7 linked regions of the Cricetulus griseus genome follow. The protein of the gene in region 2 interacts with the protein of the main gene of each other region in a pairwise test. Links are inferred from orthologs where the notes say so. Each region holds a gene or a part of one and is shown on either strand. Other genes may lie near its edges. The genes, in order: Adtrp, Creb3, Ormdl1, Aqp1, Cd82, Atp6ap2 and Dram1.

Region 1 (3,500 bases), on a different chromosome or scaffold from region 2:
CTAAACAGCTAGTTCTGGGACAGGCAAGGCTACACAACAAAAAAAACCTGTCTCTAAAAAAAACCAACAAGCTGGGCGTTGGTGGTGCATGCCTTTAATCCCAACACTTGGGAGGCAGAGGCAGGTGGATCTCTGTAAGTTCGAGACCAGCCTGGCCTACAAGAGCTAGTTCTAGGACAGCCTCCAAAGCCACAGAGAAACCCTGTCTCAAAAAACAAGCAAGGGACGGGTAGGGGAGGACTGGTGGGAGAAGGGAAATGGGATTGTCATGTAAAACAATTCTGTTTCTAATTCAAACAAAAAAAAGTTGGAAAAAAAAAGCAAAGCAAAACAAAACAAAACAAAACAAACAAAACCACCACCAACAACAAAAAATGTATTTATTTTTATGTGTGTGTGTGTGTGTGTGTGTGTGTGTGTGTGTGTGTAACTTTATATACACCATGTGTGTGCGAATGCTCTCAGAGGCCAGAGGGTGTTGGGAGCCCCTAGAAATCAGGGTGATGGTTTATGTTTTAATATGTTTAGCAAACACTCTTATAAAGAAATAATTCAAAGCATTAATCATCTTAACACTCAATACAAATGACTAAAACCCCACTGTTCTTAGTAACTGGGCTTTCTCTATCTGCATTTCTTTCCTTCCGATTCCAAATGGATTAGCCCTCTCTCCCTCACTTCCTCCCTCCTGTTTTCTTTTTTACAATTAAAGCTCTTTGAAAGTCGTCAGAAATCTTTACCCAGAAATTCAAGTACCACCAAATTCCTGGAATTAGATGCCTGTACATTTGAAATCCCAATCACTACCCCCAGTGATTTCCCTGCAAACTAGAACTCTGGGTTTGAAATACTTGTTTGAGGATTTTGTTTTTATTTTTGCATTTGAGTTGGCTTTGTTTGCTTGTTTGTAGCATCTCACTTTGAATGTTTACTTTCATAGCAAACACCCCATTTAGTCGCTTTCCGATCAGAAATGGAGGAGGAGTGGATTGGGTTGGGGCAGAGAGAAGGTAGCGGAGGGAATGAGAGGAGAGGAGGAAGGGGAAACTTCTATCAAAATGTAAAATAAATCAATAAATTATTTAAAAGAACATAAACTAAATCTTCCAAGAGAAGCAAATGCAACAAATCCAAGTTGAATATCTCTTTCTCTGAGGCCTCAGCCTGTGACCAGAAGTGGCTCACTCTAGCCCCTTGGGAACTGCCTGCTCTTTGCATCCACAAACTCAGAGAAGGGGTGGGCGATGCCATTTCTGTTTGATGGACCAGAACTGCTGGTAGCTGAATGGGTTGGGGGTGGTGACTACAGGGGATTTTTTTTTTTCACTTTGTTATATACAAACCAAGGTGAATTTCTACATGTCTCCTTGTAGAATTAAAGCAAAAAACATCACCCACAAATTCCAGGAATGTTGTAACAAAATTATCCTGAGATATCTTTACTCCCTTCAATAGCTATTTGTTGCTTATCTCTACATCTGGCCTACCATCTCTTTTGACTGTCACATAAAACCTTTGGAATGAATTAACTTGACAGACTACTGACTTCCACTCTCCCCCAAACTAACAGTCACCAGATAATATGTGAAACCTATAGCAGAGTTTTCCCCATGTTGCTGAAGTCCACAGACCCACTTACCTGCTGTCCCCATCAATGTGCCATGTTTGGTTTAATGCATTCTTTTGTGACTGTCCTTTGTTTTGGGACTGCTTAAGTTCATGTGCCTTCTTCAGTGAAGGAGTAGAATGTCATTCAGGCCAACCCGAATCCTCATTTACCGGGCCATGCTCACTCACATTTGGCTCACAATAAGCTATCTCTTACAGTTTAAAGTGAGAGTCACATTTTTCTAGGACAAAAGAAGCTCACATTTAAGAGTTCGTGTCCTTCAGGCCCTCACTGGGGTGAATGAAGACCCTTATAGGATTTTCCCCCTCATGGCTGGGGTGATAACTCCTTGTTCTTTGGGTCCTAAAGTTTCGAAAGAAGAGTCGGTCTTTGAGTTAAACAAGATATTATTTGATGGAAGAAGGAGACACATGGAGTCTCCAAGGGAATGCCAACTTGCACAAGGCTTTTTTTCTTCTAGCGTTCATAGGACCCACTGAACTCTGTGAACAAAGGCACCTAGCAGTGTGGTCTTCTGGTTTGGATTAAGTTTTCCTTTGGTTTGGGTAGAGGGTAGAGCATGGATAAGAAAGAAGTGTCTGTGGGGACTGTAGATGAGAGGAAAGCACTGACCCCATTTCCAGTGATTAATCTTCTCTCCAAGCAGGTAGATGATGGCACTCAAGATATAAGTGACTGAGAAGAAGATGACAATACCCAGTGGGTTGAGGGAGGCAAACACAGGGTACACCCAGTTTCCGGTCTGAAAGTAGCGCCACAGGACCCTGCATGAACAAGAAGTCAAAATGATCAGGATCACAGAGGCCAGCAAGTTATTTGCACCTCAGGTTCAGTGGGACACTAGAAGACAGCAGGTGAAAACCAGCCTGGCAAATGTTTGTCAGCACCCAAAGTATTCCGGAAGATCTATATAGAAGGAGTCGGTCATCTCTTAGTGCTTTTACATGTTTTAATAAAACATTTTTTTTTCATGGAATGAGTCAACCTTTCCCTTATCTAATACTTTGTGATTCGTCTTGGTGAAAGGATAGAAGGATATAACAGCTTATAACAGATCATCAGCAAAGGAGGGTATGTGAGCACGTGACTTCATTTGCTTTCCTTGAGATGGACAGCTGACTGAGAATTAGACCTGTAAAGATGGTGTCAGTTTTGTTGCCGGCAGCTGAAGGATTGATATATGCTGCTGCTGATTTTGGTACCTAAGAGGACTGTGCAGCTTCTCTTAGCTCTCCAAGTCTTGTTGACACAGGCTGGGTAGCGCTGGTGCATCATCGCTCTAAAACAGGATGCCTGGAGATTATATGTTATCCCTGACTTTAGCTCACAGGAATCCTTAGGGATCCAGCACTAGGTAGGGATGGATGAGTTGGTAGGGAGGCTCAGAATTTACTCATGTGAGGATAGAATATAAGTGGTTTCTGTGAGCCAAAGGAAAGAAAAGAAATGCTGGGAGAGAAGCCATGATGTCTCAGTGAAGACTAAAAATGCTGGGAGCCAACTGCACTGAAGATGCCAAAGTCTAAAATAACTTAAGACACAAAATATGTGTTAAGGGATGATGTCGCCTCAGCTGCAGCTTACAATTGTTAAGTGTATAGAATCTGGAAGAGGATTCTGTGACTGAAATGTTCAGTCTGCCACCTATTAGCTACATTACCTCCAACAATTTATTAACTCTGCTGGTGTAGACCTGGGATCCAGGCAGTATACACCTCAGCAGGAGGCTGCAAGAATGACCGGAATGAAACACCTGTTTGCGACCTATGTATTTCATGTGTAATACATAAGGTAGTGCCTGGCATGTGAGAGTTTGACAGGAGTTCCTAAGCAGCCATGGACAGCACAGCGCTGTTCTCTTGTAAGAGGA
Region 2 (2,753 bases):
ATATATATGTATGGGTATATAAAAAATAATACACCTTGGATGACCTTTTTCCCATCTTCTCTTAGGTGGAGGAACAGGTTCTCAAACGGATACGGAGAAAGATTCGAAACAAGAGAGCTGCTCAAGAAAGCCGCAAGAAGAAGAAGGTGTATGTGGGAGGGTTGGAGAGCAGGTAGGAAAGGAAGAGCATGGGGAACAAGTTGGAAGCCTTAAGCTTTTGAAGGGAAGACACAGGCAATATTTTGATATCCATGTTATCCTCCAGGGTCTTGAAATACACAGCCCAGAACCAGGAGCTGCAGAACAAAATACGAATTCTAGAGGAACAGAATCTGTAAGCAACCATTTATAGTCATTAATTTTTAAAATCTTTTTAATGATTTTTTACTTTTATGTGCATTGGTGTTTTGACAGCATGTATGTCTGTGTGTTTGTCGGGTTCTCTGGAACTGGAGTTACAGACAGTTGTGAGCCGCCATGTGGGTGCTGGGAAATGAACCTGTGTCCTCTGCAAGAGCAGTCAGTGCTCTTAACCACTGAACTATCTCTCCAGTCCTGTCATTAGTTTAATGCTGTCTCACTCTTTCCACTATTCCACCCTTGACTTCTAACTGGATTGCTCCTAAATTCAAAAATCTGGTGGTTGGCCTTTGCCAGGTCTCAAGCTCAGAGTAATGGGGAATAAATTTCCAAGTAGCTAAGAAGAAATTAAGTACCAAGACAAAGAGGAAGTAAGAAAAGACTGAATGGAGGGGCTGGAGAGATGGCTCAGAGGTTAAGAGCACTGACTGCTCTTCTAGAGGTTCTGAGTTCAATTCCCAGCAACCACAAGGTGGCCCACAACCATCTATTATGAGATCTGGTGCCCTCTTCTGGTGTGCAGATATACACGGAAGCAGAATGCTGTATACATAATAAATAAATAAAATCTTAAAAAAAAAAAAAAGAAAAAGACTGAATGGAGGTAGTCAACATCAGAGCAGTTGCAATGGGGGTAGGAGGGGCTGAGTGGGGAAAGCATTCTAGGTGGAGAGAAGACAGTGTTTGTGTTTGCGTTGGCCCAGAAAGTAGAGAACACAGTACCTGGTGGGGATTACATGCATAGTTGATCACGTATTAAGAGAATTCTGGAAGGTATTGGCAAAGGAGCTTTAGTCAAGGCAGGGAAGTTTTTATTTTTTGTTTCAATAAGGAACCACAGGTCCACAAAGAAGTCATTTGGGGGGGGAGGGGGGATGGCAAGGAAGTTAAGAGATTGGATCCACTGCACCAGTGGAGAGAGTGGCTTAAATGGGGGTGGGGAGGAGGGTGGTAGGGTGAGTTTCATTGTGACTCAGTGCTAGACCAGGGCATGCTCACCACTGTTTCCTCTCTCTTCCCTTAGGTCCCTTCTAGATCAACTGAAGAAACTTCAGGCCATGGTTATTGAGATAGCAAACAAAACCAGCAGCGGCAGCACGTGTGTTCTGGTGAGGAGAATGGGACGGCAGATCATTTTCTTGGCAGAGATGGGGTGTATGACCCAGAGCCCTTCATCTCTTTTTTCCGTGTTCTAGGTCCTACTGTTTTCTTTCTGCCTTCTTCTTGTACCTGCTATGTACTCCTCTGACACAAGGGGGAGTGTGCCAGCTGAGTATGTTGGTAAGAGGCTGAGGACCTTTAAGGCATGGGCTGTGGTAAAGGGTGGCTTCTGTCTTGTCACTTGACAAGGCTTTGTCTCTTCAGTGTTGCACCGTCAGCTTCGTGCCCTTCCCAGTGAGGACTGTCATCAGGAGAAGCTGCCTGCCCAGCGGTCAAAGTCACTGAAGGACAGCACAAGCCAGCTGCTGGGTAGCTCAGAGCAGATGCTCCAGGCCTCCAGCAACGCTTCCTGCCTCCTACACTGCATGCCTCAGGCAGAGCCACCCCTGCACTGGACATTCCTTGATCTTTCCTCAGAGACCCCCTTCTCAGGCCCCAACCATCCCCTGAAGGCAAATCTTTCAAAGAAAGGGGAGTGGCTGCCTACCCACAGCCCTTCTTCTGTTGTCTTGCTGGGCAGGCATTCATGTTAGATTTGAGATGCGGGGTACCCTCAGCCTGAGGATTCCTGTCAGTATTCAAATAAAAAGGAATGGGGGAAAGAGCTGGCCTCTGCTCCTGTGCCCTATTAGGATGCCTGGGAGCTCAAACACACCATACTTAACAGTTTTATGGTCTTTTATTTATACTCATGTATATCTGTTGTTCCATGAATAGACTTGGAGAAATTTACTGGCCTTGAATATTTCATCCACGGAAGGAACGGGGAGGGTAAGAAATAAATAAGTGGTTCCTTGGCCCCTTTTTACTGGCACAGTTGGGTAGCAAGAAGGGAAGGGGCTTGATTGTCCTAGTGGCTCAGGGCTGCAGGAGTGGTGGGAGGGAGGAGGAAAGACCAGTGTATTGGCTGGGCTTCCACAGTTCAGGGGGATCACTCTGGGCTTAGGTTTGTCCAAGATTTCTTTGGTTCATGTTCAGGCTCTGTGCTTAGTCTTGTGCCCTGTGTGACAACTGGCCTTTTGCCCTTTTTATGCTGCTGCTGTTGCAGGGCCAGCTGCATGGCCCAGATGCTCAGCGGCCTCATGTAGGCTAGTGAGCGGAACACTTGCTGCTGGCAGTATGCCTCTGGGGTCTGGAAAGCCAGGCCCAGGCGTTCCCATACAGTGCGGTAACAGCCCTCAGCTGTCCGGAAACCTTCCCGAGTCAGACCCTGTGGGGAGAGGTAGAAGTCA
Region 3 (3,500 bases), about 300 Mb from region 2:
AATGCATATGTTTAAGGATAAACTCTGTGTTTGATACCCTCTGTTGCTTGCTTTTCAGGGTATGTATGTGTTTTTGCATGCAGTGAAAGGAACGCCTTTTGAAACTCCTGATCAGGGTAGAGCAAGGCTCCTAACCCACTGGGAACAGCTCGACTATGGAGTACAGTTTACATCTTCTCGGAAGTTTTTCACAATTTCTCCAATAATTCTGTAAGTGGTAGAAAAGTTAAGACATCATGGATTGCTAAGGAAACTGTAAACACTCTATTATGTTCTGTATTGTATGTCAGATTAGTTATCCTAAGCAATGATTTGGTGATGATAATCATTATTTGTAAAGCATCTACTGGAATCTGGTGTCTGCTTTCCTCCCAGTACCTACATCATTATTCCTTCCATTTGAATATTTTATCCTACCCATTTCTACCTAAGTATATAGGTTGCGTTGAATACAATACTATGTATCACATGTATCTTAGTTTTAACATTATCACATACAGCTTCATATATAATGAAGCAACAATGCAGTCTGGAGTAAGGAGAAAGATTTTGTAAGAAAGGTAAATTTTGAATAGATGTTTTCATAAATGAGAATATTTTCAAGAAAGGATCATAACGCAATAGACTTTTTCCCTTTATATTTATCAGATTTTATGGAAATGAGTTCGTTATATCCCTTGTAAAATTAAACTCAAATGGAAAGTCTTTTATAATTTAACAAAAGTAAATGCAATAGCAGGAATGACAGTTAGATGTCCTTAATATAGGTTTGGGCTATATTGGTTTTAAGCTATATGACATTGGCCTTGCTAGACAGACACTATGACTAGGATACTTACCTGGCCCTTGTGGACTTTGTTTTAGCCATTTTCTTAAAACCCTCAGGCTCCGCATCTGTAAACATAGAAAATTGAAGTATAATATACATAAAAATGCTTGACATATGTTGAATTTGGAATTAGATATACCAAAAAGTCAGTTAAGATCTACCTATATATACAGTCTTCCTGGTTCTCAAAATATAACTTTAACCCAAAGTTATTATTTCAAGCATTCTGATTAAATTCCTCACATAACTGAAGAAGTATCATTCAGGCCATCTGTATAGTGTTGATTGTTTCATGGTTCCTTGTGTGGCACTTGGTCAAACCTAGGATGCCCTGCAGTCTATTATCAGTTATATCACCAGCCATGATCATTTTCACAAGTACTTTCATACTTGCTTTAATTTGTCAGGTTGGTGTGACATGCTGTTAGCACAAATTTTTGGATAAAGATACAGACTCAAGCCAGCTAGAGTAACACATCCTTTATCCCAACACTTTGGAGACAAATGGGTTCAAGGACAGCCTGGTCTACATATCAAGTTCTAGGCCAGCCAGAGCTACTTAGATCCTATCTCAAAAGAAAGAAAACTGAAACAGACTCAAATCTATTACATTGGTAAAGATCTTGTGGCTCTTTTGAATCAAGAACCTGGATTAAATGAAAACTTCTGTCTTCTATTGCAGGTCTCTTTCTAATATAAACCTTAGCAAATAAATTTGTATACTGATTCTACCTGGAATTACATTTCCCTAGCGTCTTCTAGGTTATTTTAAGAGTGGGGCAATTTTCATAGCTCTATACACAGTGTTATTAAATTTCATTAAAAGAAAGTGTGATAAGGCAAAAACATGCCGAGATATATCCTTTCCTTCTGCCAGATTATAAATTAAACTGGCATTGGCAACAAGTCATTTGGCTTACTGAATACAATGCTTCAAGTATGTAAAGGAAGCATGAAGAACGATTTTGCAGCAAAAATTAAGAAGTAGTGGCTGTAAAGATTGCCCACCAGTTATAAGCACTGGCTACTCTTCCAGAGGACCTGGGTTCAATTCCCAATACCCTCATGGCAGGTCACAGCTGTCTGTAATTTCATTTTTGGGGTGAGGAGATCTCTTGTTGTCCTCTGTCCTCTGCAGGCACCAGGCATGCACATGCTACCCAGACATACATGCAGGTAAACTGTTCACACACATTAAATAGTTTTTAAATTTTTTTTCCAGGTGAGGAGTATGGCGTAAGTGGAAGATTACAGAATTTCTTATGCTAGAAAGTTCTGAAAAAGACATGTACATTCTTCTGGCAGATGTTTTTACTTGTGGAGGTAGCTGTTCTTTTCTAACCACAGTATACAAAACATCTCCCTTTATGAGAATAATGATAAAGTTAGAGGAAATGGTCTTTCTGTGAACCTGTAATAGCAAAACATATGGAATTTCCAACTGCACCTTCTGGGTTTCCAGTTTGACTGGTTATAGACTACTCAGTTAAAGCAAGAAGATGATGATATCAGAAGGGCAACTAAATACATGTTTTTTTCAAAGATACTGACTTATGCATGTGCGAAAAGGCTAGTTTCCAAAGCTCTACACCAGTTTTTCATGATCTTTGGGTAAGCCACAGAATCCCTTGAGAATACTGGTGCTTAAACCCAGGTCTTCTTTTTAGAAATCCACTGAATACAAATCTACATTTGAAATCTCATAGGCATGTGAAGACTGTCTGCTTTCAGGGATGCTAAACAACAGCATGCTCCTATGCACATTGCAGAAATGTAAGACGTGCAACTCGGTTTTTAAATTCCAAATCAAAATGTTTTAGTATCAGAATGATTTTATTTCTATGCATTTGTGTTCAGTGGCCCCCTTTTATAATATTTTTTAATTCTACATTTCGGGATGCTATGTGTATTCTAACTTTTTATCTCTGCAGATACTTTCTGGCAAGTTTCTATACGAAGTATGACCCAACTCACTTCATCCTAAACACAGCTTCTCTTCTGAGTGTACTTATTCCCAAAATGCCACAGCTCCATGGTGTTCGGATCTTTGGAATTAATAAGTATTGAAATGTTTCTACAACTGAACAAAATTCTTAGAGCTACTACGTTTCCAGTAGGGAAAGAGTAGTTAGTGAACTGCACTGCTTCAGTGATAATGTGAAATAAGAGGTATTTACATTGGAGGGCCAAGTACTGGTCCTTCATAGGCTGTCTTGAAGTGCAGAACTCCACTAAGGGATGCCTCTGTCTAATGTGCTTGGTATATTTCTGAGAGAGGCTCTACACACAGGTTGGGCAGGCCCAGCTTAGAAGTTATGGCAGTACAATGAGGGTACAGTAACTAAATCCAAAGAAATGAGGGATTTGTAAGAAACTAGGACCAGCCTATAGTGAATGGGCATTATGTTAGGGAAGGAAAACTCCAATCATTCATTTATAGTCAGTTTAAACAGACTTCTATAAAGCAGAATCATCTTGTATACAAGTTTTTATTACTGTACACATTCCCTTTATATGACATACACCCTCTTATTTTATACAAGCCCCTTCAACCTTATATGTGTACTTTCTTGGTTTTTCTGACTAAGTATTGTGTGTTGATAAATGAGGTCATGTTTGCTTTATTATATTACAAAGTTTGTGAAGGTTCACCTTCATGACTCACTCTGAT
Region 4 (4,037 bases), on a different chromosome or scaffold from region 2:
AGCCAAGGACTAAGGTGGGAAGAGAGGGCACCTGATCATCCCAGGCCTTGCCTTGTGGCTACAGAGAGAGTCCCCTGCCCCCTGCTGTGGGTGTGGCTCATCTTCTAGCACACTCACACAGTAGGTCACTGACCAGTTCTCAGGTCCTTAACTCCAGATTCTGGGGGTGCACCGGGAGCAGGGTGGGCGCTGGATCTGCAGCATGGCCTCCTCCCCTCCTGCTGTTGGGAAGTGCCTCTGGCCTCCCTCTTCCTTTGTTTCTGTATCTCAACTCTGGTTCAGCCAAATGTCCCCTCCTCAGTTTGTGCTCTTCCTGTTTCTCAAGTATTGTTTTTTGTTTTCTGTGTTGCTGGGGTTTGAACCCGGTGCCCAGACCGTATTCTACCGCCTGAGCTACATCCCTAGCTCTTCTTGCTGTCTCCCTGTCTGGCTGGAAAACTCTCCTTCACTTTCCACTCTCACTCAGATAATGCTTCCCTCTGCCCTGTCTGTCACCCATCTCTCTGTATCTGTCTCTTAGCCATAGCCCTTGTGTGCTTCTCTTTCTCCTATTTTCAGGTGCAGCTGCCATTCCTTCTATTTCCCCAGTGACCTGGCAGCTCCATTGCCTATTAGAGAAAAAAATTGTTTGAGGATTTGGGGGAGCATTCCAACAGCCCTGCCTGGCTCAGGCCTATCCTTGTCTGCAGAATGTTAGGTGACTCCCAGAAAGCTTCCTACCCCCATCAATTGAGGCCTGGATGGTGAGGTGACATCCCCAAAGTGATATGCAGCTGCTTGGCCCAGGCCAGGACACTGGAGGCCAGACTGGCTCTCAGAACCTTGGGACTTCAGATTAGTAACTGCTCAGAGTGGGATGGGACAGGCAGGCGGGTTTGGGTGCCACCTCCAAGGAGGGCAACGTCCATCCTGAGAGTCCAGTCAACCCCTATTCCCCACCCCCTCTAGAGTGCCTGGCTCTGCCCTCAGGCACCCTTGAGCTTTGCAGGCTGGGCGGGGACACCTGGATTTCTTTGGCCCCCTGAGAAGGGCCAGCTTGGAAGAATTTCCCAAAGCCTATTAGAGCAACGGCTGCCTCCTGCCTGCCTCCTCGGGCTGGGCAGGGCCCAGGGCTGAGGCGGGTGGAGGGAACAAGGGAGGGCAGGAGGGGGAGAGGAGGAAGGAAAAAGTTGGCAGGCAGACAGCAGAGCCCTGTCTGCATCCATCGCAGAGGAGGCCCGTGTGGTGTGGGGCGGGCCAGGAGCAAGGAGAGGCCTTCCTCCCTTTGTGCTCCCCCCCACCCAGCCCTATAAATAGGCCCGGCCCAGGCTGTGGCTCAGCGCTTGGAGGGAGTTGAGCACCAGGCATCCAGCAGTTAAGTCGAGCCCCCTTCCAGCATGGCCAGCGAATTCAAGAAGAAGCTCTTCTGGAGGGCTGTCGTGGCCGAGTTCCTGGCCATGACCCTCTTCGTCTTCATCAGTATCGGCTCTGCCCTAGGCTTCAATTACCCACTGGAGAGGAACCAGACACTGGTCCAGGACAACGTGAAGGTGTCGCTGGCTTTTGGTCTGAGCATTGCCACTCTGGCCCAAAGTGTGGGTCACATCAGCGGTGCTCACCTCAACCCAGCTGTCACACTGGGGCTACTGCTCAGCTGTCAGATCAGCATCCTCAGGGCTGTCATGTACATCATCGCCCAGTGTGTGGGGGCCATCGTCGCCACTGCCATCCTCTCGGGCATCACCTCCTCCCTCCCTGAGAACTCACTTGGCCGCAATGACGTGAGTGGGGTATCCCAGGCTTCGGGGGTGGTCTATAGGAAGGCACTGGCTCAATTTGCCTACTGTGCAATGGGGACACTGAGGAACAGAGAGAAAGATGAGGGTTTCTGGTGTCATGCCGAGAGCTGGGGCTGGAACTCAGCTCTGTTGTAGGGTCTGTTTGCTGCCAGGTGCTGTGGGCATGGGAGAGCTAGATACTAATGGTTGTGCCAAAGTCCCCTGCAGAGTATCTACTGCCAGGAATGAGCTGAGGGGGCAGCAAGCTGCGTGCCAGCAGTTCCTCACCCCTCCTCTGGAGTTTCCTGACCCTCCTGTGTCCTACCTAAGAAGCCACTTCCCTCCTTGGCAGCTCTGTGCCCGAGGCAACCTCTACCTACTGTCCCAAGTCCACTTTCTCCAGATCCACATGTTTGAAAGCCATTTTTTGCAAGAATCTGAGTGTGATCTCCTTGTGAAGTTGCCTGGACTTCTGGGCAGCCCCGATCTGCACTCAGGTCTCCAAATCAACTTTCCCAGAAAGACGGGAGACAGCCCCCTTTCATTCCCCTGCCCTCAATAATTAGACAAAAGTGAAGGAACAAAACTCTCCGGAGTTGTTGGAAGAGTCTTCTAGATAGCAGTTCAGGAGAAGGCTCAGGTCTCCGGTCCTTGGCCACTGAACGGTGTGGCGTGCATGCTTATGTGTGGAGGTGGAAGTAGAGGGGTACACATGCCCACCTGGGTCCTGAACTGTGTAAGCCATTTTCAAGTTGCTGCTGCATTTGAGTGTGTAACCACTTGTGCCCATAGTTCCTGGCTTGAATGATAAGCAGATGGTGACAACTGTTCAAAATAACTGCCCCTGGGCTACTCCACACTGCTAAGTGGCGGATGGTGGCTGCCTGGTCACAGATTTTTTTCCAGCTTCTTATTAGCTCAGTGTCTATGCCAAGTGCACTTCGGTTTAATGGGGACAAGTTTAGTGGGAGTGTCTGAGTAAGGGTGGAAGGTGTCTCAGAGGGGAATAGGCTGGAATCCCTCACTAGAGGCAAAGACTAAAGGCAGAGTAGAGAAACCAGCCCCAGAGAAACGAAGCTGGCTGGACCCCGGCAGGGCAGGTGCATGGGGACAGGAGCAAGGGAGCGGTCCAGGGCTCTCGTGAGTTGAATGGTTATGGGTGAGTAGACTCCTTTCACTTTCCAGCTAAAGTGCAGGTCCTGGAGATGCAGACGGGGATGGAGGTAAAAGTCTGGTGCAGAGGGCAGCTGATGTGGCCCCACTGCAGGGATGAGTACTTCTGTGTCATAGTGACATCTCTGGATCACACTTTTAAGTCAACCTCTGCTCAACTGGAGATTGAAGATTAGCCCTGAGACTGGAGTTTAGACTTTAGCAGGAGAAAACTTGGCTGCATCGGGCACAGGGAGCAGCATTAGACAGGCCGTGTCCCTCTAGACTTCAGTCTCTCCAATAGGAGCAGGGCTAGGTGCCTTGCTGAATTCCTCTGAGAAGGCTCAAGTTCTCACTGAGGTGGGGGCTGGGGAGGATGGAAGTGATGAAGGGCCCCTGTGGGAAAGAGGTGACAGAGACTCCTAGCTCTTGTCCCTTCCAAGTCAAGTGACAGGCAAGACCTTTGCCCTTGCTGACAAAGGCTTTGCATTGTCTAATATGTCATCCAAAACAGAGGCAGAATGTGATTGCTTTGGTGGCACCTGAATCTGCTAAACCCCACCTCGGCTTCTGCACCCTCTATTTTCCAGAGTTGCCCCAGTATCTGTGTCAGTCAGGATACAGCTGAAGGAGAAGGGGCTTCAGGCTCATGGGGGGACAGCTTGGGGACAGTCACCTTAGCCTGAAGCCTGTTTGTTGTTAACCACTGAGTCTTCTTGGAGCCGAGTATCCTGAGGTTCGAGATGGGCCTTAGGTTCTGATGATGTTTCTGCTACACACATGCTACCAGCTTATATTGTTGGTCGGAGCTAATTACCAACCCTAGAAGGCCTTGGCTAAGAGAATCCTCAGTGAAATGCCACATGGAAGGGACCAAACATTGTGCTGCGGTTCCTACTACCGGTCCATACCATGGACCTTTGGCATGCAGTTCATAGTCTGGCCCCCAGCCAAATGGCTCTCCTTAGGCACTGAATCCTGGACCTGGAGACACTGGGGGATGGTCCTCGATGCCTTAGAGGGACAAGCAGTCAGTGGAACAGGTGGCAGTCACTCCTTTGTGTCCCAGGGGAAGGCTCTCGCAGCTCCTCTGCTTCTACTCCCACCCTGCTGCCAAAACCTGGGTGG
Region 5 (3,713 bases), on a different chromosome or scaffold from region 2:
ACCAAATGGGCACTAGGAATTACCAGGAAGGTGGTTGAAATGCCCTGGAGCCATGAGTGTGACCTGGGATTGCTGTGGTGGAGGAGGTGGTGTGTGTCAGCATGAACAGTCATGAGACTCAGGTTCAAGGCCAGCCCTGACCCTCATATCCCTCTACAGCTGAAGCAGGAGGTGGGCAGCATGGTGATGGACATCATTCAGAACTATAAGACGAATGCCAGCAGCAGCCGTGAGGAGAGACTGCAGGAGGCTTGGGACTATGTGCAGGCGCAGGTGAGGACGGCTGGTGGTGACACAGGGCTGCACACCTGCAGTCTGATATCTGCACAGTCAGGTTGTGTGGTTATGTTGCCCCTGGGAATGGGGCACAAGTGCTCCTGGCCCCCAAGTACAGCCTCAGAGACAGCTCCTGGGCTTACAGGGCTGACTCTTGTTTGTTGGCTCTGGAAAGCTGGTCCCTTCTGGTGTCACAGAATAAGCGAAGCCTGCCTTTGCTCAGTGGGACAGATCCCGTGGCACCCACCCCAGGAGGCTCTAGCCTTTCTGTCAGAATTCCTGACACCTGCCCAAGGGGTAGGGTTGAGGGAGGAGGGAGGCAGCCTGGAGTTCATCTCCCCTGTGCATGCTTGGAGCGCCCCCTTCTGGCTGCTGAAGATCCGAGCTTGTGTGTACTAGATGCCCCAGAGGATGTCAAAATGGATACTAGTCCTTCCCGTTTGATCCCTAAAGGGACCCACAGATAGCACCTTGAGCTTCCATCCCAGAGAGGCTTTCTGCCCTCTGGACGGAAGCATTCTGTCCCTTAAAACGGTACAATTGCTCCTGTCTTCTTTTTCACTTTGGCATCCAGGAAGCTCAGGGCCAGATCTCAGGCTTGACTGTCATTGGGCTCTGTGGACCCATTTGTGCACATTGTCTGCCTCACCTTGTAGGGACCTTAGTTTCTGTTCTTCATTTGTGAAAACCTCAGATCATCTTGAAGTGACAGAACTTGGATTTGAACCCAGCACCCGACCCCAGACCCCCACCAGCCAACCTCATACCCTGTGCCGACTGGTCTTGCCCTTGAGCTCACCTCCTCCACTCAGTATGCCTGTGCTAACTGCTTCCCATTTGGGCTCTCTGCTGTGTTTGTAGTTTGTGTTACATCTTAAAAGCCTCTTGAAGTCCCTACTGATGCGCAGCACCTAAGTTCAACCCACACTCTACATCACCCCAGGGGGGCGCAGAAATGGCCAGTCTGAGTCTCCCCCTGGAGGTGGGCGGCTCCCGATGGGCTTAGTGGTGGATCCCAGCCTGTCCCCCACTCTGCACAGGTGAAATGCTGTGGCTGGGCCAGCTTCTACAACTGGACAGATAACTTGGAGCTCAGGAACTCTACAGAGAACATTTACCCCTGCTCCTGCGAGAAGACAGGGGAAGAGGACAACCAGTACATTGTGAAGAAGGGGTTCTGCAAGGTCTCCAACAGCAGCTCGGATGCAATCTTCCATGAAGAGTGGCCTGTGTACCCGGAGGTATGTCAGGGTGGGGCTGGTAGCCAGGAGCAGACCCTCCCACCCTGAGAGGGCAAGTGTTCCAGCCACTAACGCTTTCCCAGGCTGTCACTCACGCATCCTTCTCTCCTTAGTCCCCTCCCTATTTGCTCACACCCTCATCTGCAAGCATATGGGGTTCTGCTCATGAGACAGGGCTCCGGGCAGTCTCCCTGCTGCAGTGCGTGGTGGCTGATGTGGAGTATTCCCACAGGGGTGTATGAAGAAGGTGCAGATGTGGCTTCAGGAGAACCTCGGCATCCTCCTGGGCGTGTGTGTCGGTGTTGCTGTCATTGAGGTCTGTTCCTCCCCCAGCCTTCCCCTGAGCTTTTTGTTTGTTTGTTTCGAGACAGGGTTTCTCTCTGTAGCTTTGGAGCCTGTCCTGGCACTCACTCTATAGACCAGGCTGGCCTTGAACTCACAGAGATCCTCTTACCTCTGCCTTCTGAGAGCTGGGGTTAAATGTGACTACCAGCAATGCCTGGCTTAAAATGTGTAGCCCAGGCTAGCCTAGAACTCATGATCCTCCTGTCTCTGCCTCCTTCAGCAAATCCTACCAGCAGGCACCGTCACAACTAGATCCCTGAGCTTTGTGGGGTTCACATACTCCTCTCCCCTATTGTCTCTGCACTGATGGGCTGAGTGGTCCATGGGCTTCTAGAGGTGCCCTGGCCTCAGGCCATTTAGCTGTGTGACATCAGCTAGGGCTGTCCTTCTCTGGGCCTGCTTCAGCAGCCTGCCTGCCTCAGGTGGTTGTGCCTAGAGCCCGGTGTTGAGCTGGGTGGTAGGGTTCTGGGACCTGGGCCAGCCATCCTGACTTTGACCTGTCCTTTGCAGCTGCTGGGGTTGTTCCTGTCCATCTGTTTGTGCCGGCACATTCATTCTGAAGACTACAGCAAGGTCCCCAAGTACTGAGCTGCTGACATCCTCTCTGTGCTGTGTCTCTCCACCCTCAGTATCCCATGGGACCTCTCTGACTCCTTCCCCCATGGCCTGTGCTCCATCCACCACTAAGGTCTCTGGCCCATCCTGAGCAGGTCATAGCGGGGACTTTCTGGGCCTGGATCCTTCTCCCTTCCTCTCTGCTAGTATGGAGCCCCGGCTGTCCTGTGGCTTACTGTCTAGGGGGGGCTTACTGTCTAGCTTTAAATGGCTCCCAGTGTTACTGTACAGGATGGCTGGGTCCCCACCCTGAAGTCATATTATATTGTAGTAAATTCCAGGGTGGGTGGATGTAACACCATGGCTACCCAGGGACAGGCCACAGGGAAGGTTAGTACCCTGCCCCCCACCCCACCCCTGTGATAATGACACTGTCTTTGTGGGTTTTTCATGTTTCTGTGGGAGACAGAGAGAGTAGACAGTCCTTCACACCTGACAGTCCCCTCACCCCCAGCAGCGCAGCTCAGCAGGGGTTGGGGGACTGCCCCAGGCAGCCTCTAGTAAGCTTCTTGGTAAGGGACCCAATTGCTTAGGGACATGGGTCCCTCAGGTCTGGCACAGGACCCTGAATTGTCTGTGGACCCAGAGAAGGATGAGCTGGACTGATTTTTTTTGGCAGCTCTCCCTGTCCTCTGCACTAAGGGTGGGTGGTTGAGGCTGTGCCTCGCAGGGTGGGGGAGGGGCTCCATGTACTCAGCTCTGAAATCAACTATTAAAGAAGGTTTGTAACAATACAGACTGAGGAGGCGTGTCCTAAATTATGGGGTGGAGAGGACACGGGGATGAACCTGAAGGCATGATGTGGGGTTCCTGTGTTTCAATTCATCTTCACTGGTCCTTCCTCCTCAGAGATCTGGGTATATGTGCTGTAGAGAACCAGGAAGCCAGGACACTTTCTGGAGTGTCGGATTTCTATTAACACTCACATAAGGAAACTTTTTCATAATAAGTAAAGCAAGTAAGATGTGTGACTCAAGGTTTTTGAAATGGACTGTCCCTCACAGCCCCAGCATTCTCAGCCTGGACAAATTCAGAATCAAATGACATGATGAGGAAACACACACACACACACACACACACACACACACACACACACACACAGAGAGAGAGAGAGAGAGAGAGAGAGAGAGGAGCAGATGGAAGGTGGCAGGGGTGGCCAGGTGGGCACTTCTCCCACTCACCTGTGAGGCCCTGAAGCACAGGGAAGGGCAGACTCCAGGGCAGGGACCCTTGCCT
Region 6 (3,500 bases), on a different chromosome or scaffold from region 2:
TGAACAGCCATTTTTCAACCAGGAAAATGTAATTGCGATATAATCCTAAATACTTGATGAGTTAAAGAGGGAGGAAATCACCAGAAATTTCTAAATTACTTAGAACTGAATAATGATAAATGTTCAGTATATTTAAAAACTGCACAGTACAGTTGAAGTGGTCTGAAGCGGAGCTTACAGCCGTGAATGCATGAACCTGCATTTAGATTTCTAAGTTTGGACATTAATGAGCTAAAGAAAGCAGAAAAGTTTTCAGAGTAAATGCAAATAAAGTAGGAAGAGAGAACAATAAAGATCAAATGGTAGATCTTTTCGCCAGGACTATTTATTTCTCTATGTGGTTTCTGTGAAGATCACCATGTATTTCATTTATGTATAAATGTAGAAAATCCGGGACACCATTTAAAGCTTAATAGCATAGATAAAACCACAAATTTGTTTTTTGAGTCAAGATCTCATGTAGTCCAGGTTGGCCTTGAACTCTGTGTTGCCAAGGCACATACTGCCAGTGGATGTGGAGCTAGGAATGGAACCCAGGTCTTCATGTATAATAGTGTCTAATAAGCACCTTACCACACTGAACATTTTGAAGCAGACTAGCCTCACTTTACATGAGCGGGAGCTATGACAAACGCTCACTTTATTAATTGACCTTGCTCGGCTACCTGGAATTTTCTTGGAAGAAAATGGAGAGATAGAAGGCTCAGAGAACAAAGCCCACACAAAAATCTAAAGGCAGAACTACCTTCTAATTCTACTTGGCAAGGCTTCCTTTTGTCAGCTAGTTGTAGTTTCAAGTGATACTGATGGAGAAATTCTTGGACAAACATGCATAGCTGCCTAAAACAGTGTGGGAAAAGTCACCATGTTCCAGTCACCCAGGCTTTTTACCCTTTGAGCTTAGCAGTCTATATAATTCTTTTTCCTTCCCAATCTGATATTTAACTCATTCATTAGCTTCTCCAGGTTGATTGCTCCAGGCATATCCTTCAGTCATTAACTTTCCTCAACCCAAGTGCTGCTCCATTAAATCAGTGGTTCTCAACCTGTGGATCTCAACCCCTTTTGGAGGTTGAATGACCTTTTCACCGGAATCACCTAAGACTACTAGAAAACACAGATGTTTACATTACGATTCATAACAGTAGCAAAATTATAGGTGTGAAGTAACAACAAAAAAATTATAACATAGTTGGAGGTCACCACGACATGAGGAACTGTACTAAAGGGTCACAGCATTAAGGAAGGTTGAAAGCCACTGCACTAGGTGAAATGAGGTGTTTCCACCCAAACCTGAGGAGGTGAGTGTTCACAAAAGGCAGGCACTTGCAGAGGCTGGTGACAACATGCTTTTGCAAGCTTGATTGCCCTTCCTCCTCTCTAGTTACCTGTGACCTCATTTTAGAAGTTTGGGAAGAGTTAGTATGCATCTTGATTAAGATAAAAGCAACATGTCTGTTCTAGTCATAGAATCCTGAAATTGATGCTTCAGTTTGGATACTGGTATTTCATCCGTAAGGTTTCTTTACTTACCTTCATTTCTGCCTGCACTGCTTTGGCATTCATTTGCTGCTTATACAGTAACCCTTTAAGTAGTAAACGGAATTACTGGAAGAAAAGTCAGCGAGATAATCTCCATTAAAACAAAACCATTGGGTACAGTGTAATTCAACCACTTGGGAAGTGGAGGCAGGAGGTTCACAAGTTTGAAGCCATGTAATGAAGCTACATAACAAGTTTGATGCCAGTTTGAGCTACTGCTCATTTAAAAATGGGATACTACTGCTTTAAAAAAATCTTTTGTGTTTGAGTGTATTGTCTGCATGGGTGCATCATGTGCATGCCTGGTGCCTGTGGAGGCCAAAGGAGGGCATCTGCCTCTAAGTGGACTCTGGGAATCAAACCTCTGGGAGAGCTAGTGCTTTTTTTTTAGCCTCTTGTTCTTTTAATACTGTAAGATCAGAGGTACTGGGATTAAAGGTGTGCGCCACCACAACCTGGCTTGTAATATCAGAAGTAAAATACTTTTTGAGAGAAAATTTTTGAATGTACTTTTTAAAAATAGAGTAGAACAAAAACAAATGTAGCATAGCATAGACATCCCCATTTTAGTGACCCCAAAAGCTAAAGGGGGGTGCTTTAGGGCATTGCTGGTATTCTGTGTCTTAATCTAGTTGGGTTAGGAGAGTGCACCCATTTGTAAATGCTTGTTAATCTCCTTACTCCAGGGTTTATATACTGTAGTATATGTATGTTGCACTTTAATATAGTCAAAGGGCTAGAGAAATGGCTCAGCAATTAAGAGCACTGGCTGTTTTTGCAAAGGACCTGGGTTTGATTCCCAGCACCCACATAACAGCCAGCTCACAATCATGTTATTCCATATTCAGTGTCCCTCCTCTGGCTTCCTCCAGCCTCAGGCACACAAATGGTACACAGACAAAAATACCCATACACATTCAATAATAAAATAAAAAAATTTAAAATTCAAGCTAAAAAGCAGCCGTTGGGGCCAGCAAGAAGGTTCAGTGAACAATGGCACTTTGCCTTGCAAGCCTGGCAACTCAAATTCGAGCCTCAGAACCCATATAAAGGCAGAATTCTCTGGCAATTCTGTGTGTGTGTGTGACGGCATATGCATACATCAAATAATAATTTTTAAGTCTTTTGATAGGGCTGGGGAGGTGGCTTAGTAGGTAAAGGTTTAAGAGAGAGAAAGACCATAAAGTTGAGTGGGTAGCAAAGTGGATACAATCTGGAAGGAGTTTGGGGAGGGGGAAAAAAAACGTGATCAAAATATATTGTCTGAAAAAACATCACAAAAAAATTGCTGGTGATTTAGTGGAGCCATAAAGAAGAATGAAAAATCATGTCATTTGCAGAAAAAGATGAGCAGAACAAGAAGTGGGAGTGTTAAGCAAAACAAGCCAGATTCAGAAAGTAAAATATTACGTTTTCTCTCATGTAGAAAGCAGACTTCAAAAAGAAAACGAGACAGGCAAAAGGTGAAGAGGGTAGGATGGTAGAAGATGGCCTCATGTTCAAAGTGTATATGGGAGCATGGACTTCATGATGAAACCTACTAATATGCAATTACTATATACCAATAATAATGAAAAATGCTTTTTCCTGCTGCGAGCCCTCTTGCTTATACTGTCTGCATGACTTTTCTTTCCGCTTTATTTCAAACAATAATTGCACTTTTACTCTTGCATTTCAGGCGGTTCCTTTTAGTCTTGACAGTGTTGCAAATTCCATTCACTCCTTATTTTCTGAAGAAACTCCTGTAGTTTTGCAGTTGGCTCCCAGTGAGGAAGTAAGTAACAAAGTTTTTATTTAAGATCCTTATAAAGAAGTGTTACTTAATGACAATTTTAAAGTAATTATATGAAAAAATCTATACAAAGTCTGTAGGTTGGAATAAATCCATAGCAGGCAGTTAACCCAGAGTTCTGGATTCTTCTTGTAGAGAGTGTATATGGTGGGAAAAGCAAACTCCG
Region 7 (3,500 bases), on a different chromosome or scaffold from region 2:
ATCCACCTGCCTCTGCCTCTGCCTCCTGAGTGCTGGGATTAAAGGTGTGCACCACCACTGCAGCAATGAAAACAATTTTCTGATTAGTCACCACAACATGAGGAACACTTTTAAAAGGGTCTCAGCACTAGCAAGGTTGAGAACCACTGGCTGGGAGACTCCCAGGGTGAGTGGACGAGTGCTGGCAGCTTCAGGTCAGCACTGTCCCATGGAGTAAGACCCATCTGTGATCTCCACAGGAGTTAGCTGTGCCTGTCGTCCATGATGGTGGTGCCCTTCTGGCTTTTGTCTGCGGTGTAGTTTACACGCTCCTGCAATCGATCATCTCCTACAAATCATGTCCCCAGTGGAACAGTCTCACGACATGCCATGTCCGGATGGCCATCTCTGCTGTTTCCTGCGCAGCTGTGGTCCCCAGTATCCTTTCCACGTGTCAATTGGAAGAATATGGCGAGGAAGAAGACTGTCCTAACTCAGGCCATAGCAGTAGCTAGAGGGACTGCTGAAGGTGGGGTCTTGCAGTAGGGAGAGAGACTCACTTGTGGGTAAGTGGAAGTCTATATAGCAGGGAGCAGCATGGGGTCACTGGGTAGAAGAGGACTAAGGTAGCTCAACTTCCTTGCCATAATTCTCATACAAGACACTTCAGGGCAATCAGACAGCTTGGGGGTAGATGGCTTTTAGCCAGATTGATCATACCAACTGTGAGGAGATGGGTTATTAGACTCAGTGTCGCTGTGGTACCTGATGTAAACAACTTATGGGGGGAGAAGGTTTAATTTGGGTTCACTGTTTTTGAGACTTCAGTCCATGGTTTCTTGGACTGGTGCACTCAGGCAAAGCATTATGGCAATTGGAGCATGAGGAGGCTGAATTTCTTCATTATGAACAGGAAAGAGAAAGCAAGGGACAGAGGGGAGGAAGAGAGACAGGAACAGGAGGAGGTGGGGGAAGGGGTCAGGGACATGAGTTCCCCAGCCCTGGCTAAGGACCGACCACAGCGATCTGCTTCCGATAGGTCCTACTTCTTAACATTTCCAGAATCTCCTCCAGACCCTGGCAGAACCTTTGGGGGTGGTGATGGAGACACTTTATATCTGTCTTAGTTACTTTTTGGTTGCTGTGAAGAGACACCATAACCAAGGCAACTTACAGAGGGGAGAGTTTATTTGGGGCTTATGGTTTCAGAGGGTTAGAGTCCATGACTCTCAATGGTGTGGGGGACCATGGTGGCAGACAGACATACTTGGCACTGGAGCAGTAGCTAAGAACTTATATTTTGGTCCATAGTCACAAGGCAGAGGAAGGTAACTGGGAATGGCAAGGACTTTTGAAATTTCAAAGCCCCAGTGACTCACCTCCAAGACCAAACCTCTGAATTCTTCCCAAACAGTTTCACTAACTGAGAACCAAACTTTAAAATATATGAGCCTGTTGGGGGGCCAGTCTTATTTAAACCACCACACTAACCTTAACCAGGATTTCGTTAAATTGGTTTTATATTCTAAATTTATATTTCAGTTAAATTGTTTTTTATATTGACATGAACAGATGGGCCCAGGAGAAAGGGTTGTCAGGATTCAGACTACATAGTTCAGCTAAGCGAAGAATCTTGGTCCCAGCAAGTCTGATGTTCTCTCTACACCCATGTCTAAAGCACTAAAAAGGAAAGGAAAAATTGCCAAGTGTCCATATTCTTCAGAGGACCAAATAGGAGAACAGTGTACACACTACAGAAGTATTAGATTCAAACAGACTTTGGGAATAGAAAAAAAGCAAGGACATTCCAGCCTGTTGACTTTTCCTTCCCACCGGTCATTTTCACAAGCCATATGAAAATATTTAGTTTTTTAAAAGTGTTTGGTTAAAGACATCAAATATTGGCATTGTATTTAAGGAAATAGCTTTGCGACATCTCAAGAGTCTGGACTCCGTGCCTACTGGAGACATGACAGTTTGGTTAACTCAACTTGACCTAGGATTTCCTTTTAAACTTCTGTCACTCACGACTAAGTCAACCAAAATGCATTGAGCCTTTTTGTAGTTTCGAACCTTGTTTTCAATATGAAGTTTACTTCGTTTTCTAATTTAGCCCTGAAATAAAGGAAATGAGTATTTAATCATGCTGATATATTCTGATCTAAAGGAAATGAAAGCTGGGCATGCAGGCACATGCTTATGTCTAGCTCACTGGCTTGGCAAAGGCATGAGGATGAGCCTGGGCTATGGGACTAGGGTCTTAAAGACCCGTTTCCTCCTTGTCCAGCCTCAATGTGACAGCTTTTGACCTTGTCTTATTGTGTCTTGTTTTGTCCAGTTTAGTTGTTGTCTCCTGGAGGCCTGCTCTTTTCTGAAGGGAAACGGAATGGGAGTGAATCTAGGGGAGATGAGGTGTTCAGGTGGGAAGGGGTAGAGGAAGGGGACACTGTGGTGGTGATGTGTTGTATCAAAGGAGAATCTATTTTCAATAATAAAAAAGAAAAGGGAAGCATTCCCCCGCCGTGTGTGTGTGTGTGTGTGTGTGTGTGTGTGTGTGTGTGTGTGTGTGTGCACGTGCACGTGCGTGCGTGTGCTTGCACATCTGTTGTGTGTGTGTGTGTTGTTTGTTTGAGACAGGTCTTGTTGTGTAACTTCTGCTGGCCAGTAGCCAACCAGTTTCAGCCTGGGTTTCAGTGCTGCGATGATTATAGGTGTGTGTGTGATCACACTCAGCTCCTCTCTCTCTCTCTCTCTCTCTCTCTCTCTCTCTCTCTCTCTCTCTCTTTCATGAAGTATTTAAACCAAGAAAATAAAAGTGATATGGTATTTCAAGGGTGGAAACTTCTCCACCGTTTGATCTTGTGTTAGATTGCAGAAAAAAAATGGATGCTGTTTTGCAAACAATGTAGGCCAGTTCATGATCTATAGTGGTCAAGCTCCATGACTCATCATGTCCTTTAAACTCTGAGCTCCGTGTTTCTATCCAAAAATAGAAGTTACATCAGATAGCCTAAGTATGCAATTTTGCTTTTGATTTTATTTATTATGGTTTGAGATAGAGTCTTATTCTGTAGCCCAGGCTGGCCATGACCTTCCCTCCCACACCCCACCCCACCCCCCACCCCCCACCCGCCCTTTTTTTCTCAGCCTCCAGAGTGTGGAGATTACACGTTCTTCCTCCTAGTTCTGAAACTAACTGTAAATCAGGCTGGCCTCGAACTCACGGAGATCCACCTGCCTCTGCCTCCCCAGTGCTGGGATTGAAGATGTGCACCACCACTGCCCAGCCTTGGAGAAATTTTTAATTATAAAATTTTCAACCAAGGAGGAACTGAGTCCTGACACTGAGAAATGTACTAACAAACTGCAGCCTTTGCTCTGAAGACAACTCCTTCCCTATTTCCTTGTCCTGTTTTAGTCTGAAGATGTTCATACTTTCTCTCGAAATACATTTCCTTAAATCTTTAGCTTGTGTTGACTGTAAAACTGTGTAAGTGGTGTTTGTATTGTCATAAACAGTT

Evidence for each region.
Region 1: the proteins of Creb3 (region 2) and Adtrp interact in a two-hybrid assay, tested with the Homo sapiens proteins (2 studies listed by BioGRID and IntAct). The two-hybrid records come from large-scale screens. The link is inferred for Cricetulus griseus from reciprocal best matches to the Homo sapiens genes CREB3 and ADTRP.
Region 3: the proteins of Creb3 (region 2) and Ormdl1 interact in a two-hybrid assay, tested with the Homo sapiens proteins (2 studies listed by BioGRID and IntAct). The two-hybrid records come from large-scale screens. The link is inferred for Cricetulus griseus from reciprocal best matches to the Homo sapiens genes CREB3 and ORMDL1.
Region 4: the proteins of Creb3 (region 2) and Aqp1 interact in binary tests that used the Homo sapiens proteins (3 or more experiments, as listed by UniProt). The two-hybrid records come from large-scale screens. The link is inferred for Cricetulus griseus from reciprocal best matches to the Homo sapiens genes CREB3 and AQP1.
Region 5: the proteins of Creb3 (region 2) and Cd82 interact in a two-hybrid assay, tested with the Homo sapiens proteins (2 studies listed by BioGRID and IntAct). The two-hybrid records come from large-scale screens. The link is inferred for Cricetulus griseus from reciprocal best matches to the Homo sapiens genes CREB3 and CD82.
Region 6: the proteins of Creb3 (region 2) and Atp6ap2 interact in a two-hybrid assay, tested with the Homo sapiens proteins (2 studies listed by BioGRID and IntAct). The two-hybrid records come from large-scale screens. The link is inferred for Cricetulus griseus from reciprocal best matches to the Homo sapiens genes CREB3 and ATP6AP2.
Region 7: the proteins of Creb3 (region 2) and Dram1 interact in a two-hybrid assay, tested with the Homo sapiens proteins (2 studies listed by BioGRID and IntAct). The two-hybrid records come from large-scale screens. The link is inferred for Cricetulus griseus from reciprocal best matches to the Homo sapiens genes CREB3 and DRAM1.

Annotation. Positions count from the first base shown.
Region 1 is NC_048596.1:261,457,006-261,460,505, forward strand, and holds part of Adtrp (androgen-dependent TFPI-regulating protein), read right to left. Parts: intron 2,395-3,500; coding exon 2,243-2,394; intron 1-2,242. UniProt on the Homo sapiens protein: Hydrolyzes bioactive fatty-acid esters of hydroxy-fatty acids (FAHFAs), but not other major classes of lipids. Show a preference for FAHFAs with branching distal from the carboxylate head group of the lipids.
Region 2 is NC_048595.1:99,950,819-99,953,571, reverse strand, and holds the end of Creb3 (cyclic AMP-responsive element-binding protein 3), read left to right. Parts: intron 1-65; coding exon 66-172; intron 173-265; coding exon 266-334; intron 335-1,384; coding exon 1,385-1,469; intron 1,470-1,556; coding exon 1,557-1,641; intron 1,642-1,725; coding exon 1,726-2,054; 3' UTR 2,055-2,253; downstream 2,254-2,753. Other genes in the region: Gba2 (non-lysosomal glucosylceramidase), read right to left, coding at 2,453-2,731. UniProt on the Homo sapiens protein: Endoplasmic reticulum (ER)-bound sequence-specific transcription factor that directly binds DNA and activates transcription. Plays a role in the unfolded protein response (UPR), promoting cell survival versus ER stress-induced apoptotic cell death.
Region 3 is NC_048595.1:402,678,393-402,681,892, reverse strand, and holds part of Ormdl1 (ORM1-like protein 1), read left to right. Parts: intron 1-58; coding exon 59-210; intron 211-2,760; coding exon 2,761-2,896; 3' UTR 2,897-3,500. UniProt on the Homo sapiens protein: Plays an essential role in the homeostatic regulation of sphingolipid de novo biosynthesis by modulating the activity of the serine palmitoyltransferase (SPT) in response to ceramide levels.
Region 4 is NC_048601.1:85,981,956-85,985,992, reverse strand, and holds the start of Aqp1 (aquaporin-1), read left to right. Parts: upstream 1-1,237; 5' UTR 1,238-1,376; coding exon 1,377-1,760; intron 1,761-4,037. UniProt on the Homo sapiens protein: Forms a water channel that facilitates the transport of water across cell membranes, playing a crucial role in water homeostasis in various tissues.
Region 5 is NC_048599.1:83,315,531-83,319,243, forward strand, and holds the end of Cd82 (CD82 antigen), read left to right. Parts: intron 1-159; coding exon 160-273; intron 274-1,316; coding exon 1,317-1,517; intron 1,518-1,749; coding exon 1,750-1,833; intron 1,834-2,372; coding exon 2,373-2,450; 3' UTR 2,451-3,213; downstream 3,214-3,713. UniProt on the Homo sapiens protein: Structural component of specialized membrane microdomains known as tetraspanin-enriched microdomains (TERMs), which act as platforms for receptor clustering and signaling.
Region 6 is NC_048604.1:118,214,884-118,218,383, forward strand, and holds part of Atp6ap2 (renin receptor), read left to right. Parts: intron 1-3,220; coding exon 3,221-3,316; intron 3,317-3,469; coding exon 3,470-3,500. UniProt on the Homo sapiens protein: Multifunctional protein which functions as a renin, prorenin cellular receptor and is involved in the assembly of the lysosomal proton-transporting V-type ATPase (V-ATPase) and the acidification of the endo-lysosomal system.
Region 7 is NW_023276806.1:154,333,587-154,337,086, reverse strand, and holds part of Dram1 (DNA damage-regulated autophagy modulator protein 1), read left to right. Parts: intron 1-239; coding exon 240-417; intron 418-3,500. UniProt on the Homo sapiens protein: Lysosomal modulator of autophagy that plays a central role in p53/TP53-mediated apoptosis. Not involved in p73/TP73-mediated autophagy.